Drosophila melanogaster: one gene and its partner. The protein of the gene in region 2 interacts with the protein of the main gene of each other region in a pairwise test. Each region holds a gene or a part of one and is shown on either strand. Other genes may lie near its edges.

Region 1 (3,938 bases), 3.0 Mb from region 2:
AAATATATGTGGAAGTTGTTATTTAACGGCTGCCTCAACTTCGGGGTAAAGTCTAGCCGATAACCGATAGCGGCAGAGTCATTCACGGAACTTAATCAGTGCTTCCGAAGAGGCGACAAGAGCTAAAAATAAGCGGCACCATTGGTATTTCCCCTCTGAACTTTGATAAGAGTATGCGGAAAATAAAAATATCACAAAAAAATTCGCATATGTAGAAATTAAACTTTTAGTGAAAAACTGTTGAGTGCCGAAAGCAGCTCACACAAATAGCACATTTTAGTTTGGAAAAGAAGAAAATATATTTTTAACAAATATACATCGAAATATATTTATACACGCTTTGATGGTTCACTCTATCTATTTTTAAAATCTATGATCTATTTTAAAGAATGTCAAAGAAATCCAGAAGCGTAAAGATCAAACTATGAGTTCTTTGAACTCAGAATAAATTGGTTTACATTTGAAAATATGACAAGATCCACTTCTTTTAAATGGAAAACCCATTTCACTCAAAGGACAGTCACCCCTATTGCGACTCGTCGTCTTTCGAACCCCGATCCCCAGATAATCCTTATACATATGTCTATCTATCGCAGACAATGATGGGAAAAAACGTCCCCAGACAATCGGAATATGTTGACCCTATTTTTGTCGGTAAACAGATATTGCGACGCGTTCCTGATTTTTGCGATGGCATTTCGAGGTCAATAAATGATACAATGGAAGTGTTTTCACTAACAGTTAACACTTAACACTCGAGTTCAGCACTCTTCTACCGATTCGGTTTCGGAATGAGATCGAGATTGAGAGCGAAGACAACTTACCGGAAAATTGAAATGGCTCGTGACTCAGGCAAATTCCGCGCCGACAAATAAGAGAAATTCGCAGGGGGTGTGGGGGGTGTCTGGGTTCGAGATGACACTATTCGTTGGATCGCTGCTAAATTCAGCCACTGCGAACACGATTTTAACACGATTTTGCTATATAGTCACACAACGCTCACGTGTTAATTATCCATGAAGGGCTACATTGAAAAGGCGCAGGTTTAGGTGTGTATAACTTTTCCCGGATTACACTCTCAATGCGATTGGTTTGATTGGCGGCGAATGGGAACCAAACACACACACACACACACACACGGCTATTTCGATGCAAAAACTTGTGTCACATCAGATTATCGAAATGTTTGATATGGTTATTGTTGCTATGCGGCGTATTGGAAATATCAACGGCTAGTAACTAATTATACAGCGTGGTCGAGTATATGTAATGTGCTGCTTGAGTGTGTTTTTTATTGGGGAGTTTGTTAGAACGCGAGAACGTGGCGTTTATATATGAAATAAAATTTCTTTTTTGTAATTTAGTTGAGCGTCGGGCAATACTCTCAATTTCTTGCACGCGTTACGTATATATTTTTAGCGTCGGCAATTGCACATCCAAATGAAATTGAACAGATAACAACGAACTGAAAACTCGAGTTCAACACGCAAACACAGATCACAGAGAATTAAAGCGATTTTCCTTCCGTTTCGACTATGCGCAGCGGACAGACTGATATTGTGGGCCTGGGGCCGAAGAGTTTTACGATCGCTCGGTTCGGTCTGTCCGCCGAAAGTGCGAGAGCAACCACTCAACTACACTCGACAACAAAACAGTCATTTATTTTGAATATGGTGTTGAATTTAATATATAGTCTATATGAAATGCTATGTGAATCTTGTTTATTTTATACAGAAATATATACTAAATTAAAATGAACCTGCTATCTGATATTCAAGTTTCTAAAAAAGTCCTAATAAAACCGATAGCTTCATGATTGATCATGATTACTATTTCCTTGTAGCTTGGTGTTTCGGTTATTTGTTTCCACTCAATTGGCTGCCAGTGGAGTGAGTAACTTTACCTTGCTCTCGGTGATTTTTCACTCCGATCTTTTTCTTTCACCTGGCAACGCAATTCTCTTTTTCACTTGGCAGATTGGTTTAATGTGAATATATGTAAATTGAACAGTTATTCGTGACGTCTTACTGCGATACCGCTGTCCGCTGAGTGGAGCTCCGCCCCCCAATTCGCAACTAGCTGCAGCTAAATGGGCAAACAAAACGTGCGGCGATAAGAGCAAACTGATAAAGCGGAAATGCTTTCAGCCAGATTCATTTGGGTAGCCTAAAATCTAAGCTGCGACAGGCGTAGAAATTCGCACAAAGGTAAATAAATAATGGATAAAAGTACAGTTTGCTTTCCTTATCGCAGGCTTACCTGCCCAAACAATCGCATCCCCTGCAGGTGGGATGAGTAATCCGGTATCGAAATAACACCTGAACGGACGGCATTTAAGCGAAACGAACATCAAAAAAAGAAGAAAGGACTATTAAATTATGACATTCTTATTTATCGTTCGACTTAAAGCTTTCACATTCTTGGGTTTATTTTAATTTTAAATTATCAGCAACCCAGATTTTTAAATTCCTTACGATTGACTTTTTTCATTTTGCCTTAGAACCTTTTTTGGCGCTGTGCTTTGTTTGCGTTGTGTCAAGCGATTGGCATCTGGTTCCATAGTGTAGCGGTTATCACGTCTGCTTTACACGCAGAAGGTCTCCGGTTCGATCCCGGATGGAACCAGGAGGAAGTAACTTTTTTTTATTTTTATTTTTTTAAACGCTTACTAAGTGGAGTTTTAGCAAACAAAAGTATATAATATGTTATATATAATTCTTTCGTGTTCATAGTATACACAAAAATCAGTTGTTTTTACTTAAGTATTATTTAGTATTTTGTGGGAATAAAAAACTTGAATTTATGTTTTCTGTCGTAATAAAAATTAATAAACATATAATGAATTTAAAAAAATATATACTTTTGTCAACGTGGTTCCATCCGGGATCGAACCGGAGACCTTCTGCGTGTAAAGCAGACGTGATAACCGCTACACTATGGAACCTGTTATGAGTAGGTCGGCCAAATTTCAGTTTTCTTCAGCAAGCCCGGAAAATTTAAAGCATGCTTTCAAGCTGCTAAAAAATAAAAAGAAATTACGCATAATTCCTTGAAGTAAGAATATAAAATAATTACGTGTGAGTATCATATTTTTATTTAAAAGCCAAGAGCACACAATAGTTATATATTTGTGCCTAATCGGGTAAAATCTTGTTACTACTTAGTTGTAAGTATTATAAAATAAATATAAGTTAGAAAGTAAAATTACAAACACAGTAGTAAATATATTGCACCGTTGTTCAACCTAAAAAGTATGTCCTAAGCAATAAATCAACAAAAACTAAGGTCTAACAAAAAGGAAATTCGCTGAGCAAATGAATCTGAGGCTGTAGAAAATCAAGATTAGCAGGAGCAGAAACCAAAATTGGACGCGCAGACCGCCGAGGACATGCAGCTGGACTAGCAGTCGATTGTCCTTCCAACACTAGCTTCAATATCGCCTGGCAGTCGTCGGTCTGGGCACACCCGAGGTTCGCGGCCTGGCGGATTTGGAGCGCATTGGATTGGACACGCCATCGGTGTTGTAGCTGAGATAGACATGTGAGAGATCGAGGAAATCTGGCTCCTTGCCACTCGTCTTGTGCGCCGAGATGTGTTTCCTCATATTGTTACCCGTGTAGGCCACACACTTCAGCTGCCACTCGCCGATGTCCTCGTTCCAGTGCGTATACTGATTAATCATCGATTGGTACTCCTTGGGCACATAGGAATTTAATACCAGCTCACATAAGGCCAATTCCCTGGATAGGCTCCTGATATTCTCGTATATGCCCTCCTTTTCGCGCTGGTGCTCCTGCTGCTGATCCGCCAGCTCCGATTTCACGCCCATCAGCATCTGCATCACCCGGTGTATCTTCTTGGTAATGCCAGTGCTGGCATCTTGAAGCGTGGAGTAACGCTCCTCAATGTCAATCCTTTCGGTGGCCTTTTGCTGTAGA
Region 2 (3,206 bases):
GCGAGTGCTGACTGAAAGTATGCAATGTTTATTTGCGAAATGCCCTATGCACAGTTTGACACTCACTGAGTCTGTGCGGTTTGAGAGCCGCTGACAAGCGGAATGCGGAGAATTTGAAATTTGTGAGCTTTTTGCTACGTGGAAAGTTGTGCATGCTTCTTATTCCACAAAAAACGGAGAAAAAGGAAAAGAGTGGCCACAGCACCGACACCGAAGACTCCGATCAACAGCGCCACCCCCATTTACACTTACATTTAAATTGTACAGATTCCACTTGGGCATTCCAGCAAATCCAGGAAATAAGTTGCGGAATAAGTTAATTGAACAAATAAAACAATAATAATAATAATAATAACTTGGTTTACTGCTTCTTCGCGGGTATTTTCCGATAACGATATCGCAGGTGTATCGGTGTAGCTTTTATTTATAAGGATATTCACACTTTTATATATTAATAGCTTTTGACAATTTCTTGATCTTTTATTTTTAATCATGTATTTAAATAATAATACTATGTCGGGAAATGAAATAATGAGGCCAAACTTACAATAACATTTTTTTAATAAATACAAAACCATGTTTAAGATGTTTTTAAGCATATATAAAATTTATAGTGTTCCAATAAAATGATATTTAAAATATAAATATAATATAATATAAAATATATGAAAAGAATAATCGCGGCGGATAGCACTACAAATTAACTAAATACGTTTCCTAATGCTATATTTAAAACACTTAAATTTAAATCCGTAAGACTCATATAATCTATTTAAATAAAACAAAATACTAAAACCAATATCTTATCTTTTCTAATTGCAATCACTTAAGCTAATGAAAGTGTCGCGAATATTTACTGGTGTCATATATAGCTAATGAATAATCTATGAACTTCTGAATGGGGAAAAACACTTTGACTCTTTTTGATACTCACATATTCACATCCGAAAGACATTGTAAATATTTAAATCTAATCAAATGTTGCCTGTTTTTAAATGTTTAGATAAGATTCTAGGGAATCGTAAATTAAAACAAATCATTTTCGGTATATTAAATTTATATTAAACATAATTAAGAAAAGTAATTATTTGTGCCACGATGAACTTTTTCTATAAAAAACTTTTTTTTTAGTTTTCTATAAAAACTATTATGAATAAAGTGAATTCTGAGAACAATAGTTTGTGTACCTATCATACCACTTTTCAAGCCTTTTATTGTTCAGTAAATAAAAGGTCTAATGATAAGAACCGTAACTCATAATTGAATCATCGCATCTTGAAAGTTACATATAACAATTCCATATTGGTCATAGTTTTGCTGTGATTAAAGTTTAATATGAATTTAAGTCATATGGATTTGTTATCTCATTTGCTTCCATTAAACATTTCACACGGCTCCATTCATGAGCACTTTTAGCCAAGTTAGACTTTTAATAATATATTACCATTATTCTTTATCGCCTGTTTGTCGGAACGGGCATTTTATATGACCCACCATCTAGCCAGATACGATTAAGGTATAAATACTCCGTGGGCATTCCCAAGTTTTCAAGCTTTTCCAGCAACATGAAAGCATTCATAGCTATCCTGGCTTTGGCTGTGGCCTCGGCCTCTGGCGCCACCATGCCCCGTTTGGCCACCGAGAAACTGACCCCGGTCCACACCAAGGACATGCAGGGTCGCATCACCAACGGCTATCCGGCTGAGGAGGGCAAGGCTCCCTACACCGTCGGTCTGGGCTTCAGCGGCGGCTGGTGGTGCGGTGGTTCGATCATCGCACACGATTGGGTGCTCACCGCCGAGCACTGCATCGGAGATGCTGACTCCGTAACTGTCTACTTCGGAGCCACCTGGCGCACCAACGCCCAGTTCACCCACTGGGTTGGCAACGGTAACTTTATCAAGCACTCATCCGCCGATATTGCCCTCATCCGCATTCCCCACGTGGACTTCTGGCACATGGTGAACAAGGTGGAGCTGCCCAGCTACAACGATCGCTACAACGACTACAACGAATGGTGGGCTGTTGCCTGCGGCTGGGGAGGCACCTATGACGGCAGCCCACTGCCCGACTACCTGCAGTGTGTCGATCTCCAGATCATCCACAACTCCGAGTGCTCCGGATACTATGGAAGCGTGGGAGACAACATCCTCTGTGTCAGGACTCCCGACGGCAAGTCCACCTGCGGTGGTGACTCCGGCGGCCCCCTGGTCACCCATGACGGTACCAAGCTTGTGGGGGTCACCAACTTTGGTTCCGTCGCCGGCTGCCAGTCGGGTGCTCCCGCTGGATTCCAGCGTGTCACCTACCACCTGGACTGGATTCGCGACCATACCGGCATTGCTTACTACTAATCGACTATATCTGATTAAAAAAAAACTTCTTGAAGCGTAAATTTAAATTTTTGTACTTTACTCGGAGTATTACTGTGGACATGACGGCTTTTATTTTTAGTTAGTATTCAATATTAAATTTAAGAATAATATTTACGGATTGTTTGAAAATTACATTTTTAAATGGTATATAAAGTGCTCATGGACTATAATGTGATTCTACAGAGTCTTTAAACATATTATATATATATGTTAAGGTTGTGTCATTTAAATTATATAGATGTGGTCTTTTATAGGTAAAGAAAGATCTTAGATCTTATAATGGGATTGCTCTTAAGTCTTAGTTGCGGTTTTTTGTTTTACAGGATGTGTAGTAACAGGATTAAAACGATTGGGGATTCTTAAAGCTTGCTGAAATACTTAAAATTATTTCAATAATATTATTATTTCAATGATATTAATGACCAAATTCAACCCATAGTTATAAAACAATTTAAATTTGCACTTTAAATATTTTTATTCAATCGAAAATCGTTGCTTAGTAGTAAGCAATGCCGGTGTGGTCACGGATCCAGTCCAAGTGGTAGGTCACACGCTGGAAGCCAGCGGGGTGGCCAGCCTGGCAACCGGCTCCCGACACCCAGTTGGTGACTCCCACAAGCTTGCTGCCGTCATGGGTGACCAGAGGACCGCCGGAGTCGCCACCGCAGGTGCCCTTGCCATCGACCACGCGCACGCAGATGATGTTGTCGCCGACGGTGCCGGTTCCGTAGTAGCTGGCGCACTCGGAGTTGTGGATGATCTGGAGATCGACACACTGCAGGTAGTCGGGCAGTGGGCTGCCGTCATAGGTGCCTCCCCAGCCGCAGGCAA

What was found.
Region 1: the proteins of Jon66Cii (region 2) and lama interact in a two-hybrid assay, tested with the Drosophila melanogaster proteins (one large-scale study listed by BioGRID).

Annotation. Positions count from the first base shown.
Region 1 is NT_037436.4:5,353,791-5,357,728, forward strand, and holds the start of lama (lamina ancestor), read right to left. Parts: upstream 2,134-3,938; 5' UTR 1,904-2,133; intron 1,557-1,903; exon of another isoform or gene 825-1,556; intron 1-824. Other genes in the region: Klp64D (Kinesin-like protein at 64D), read right to left, coding at 3,431-3,938. UniProt on the Drosophila melanogaster protein: Putative phospholipase. Involved in the regulation of cellular plasticity in imaginal disks.
Region 2 is NT_037436.4:8,392,006-8,395,211, reverse strand, and holds Jon66Cii (jonah 66Cii), read left to right. Parts: upstream 1-1,562; 5' UTR 1,563-1,565; coding exon 1,566-2,354; 3' UTR 2,355-2,392; downstream 2,393-3,206. Other genes in the region: Jon66Ci (jonah 66Ci), read right to left, coding at 2,872-3,206.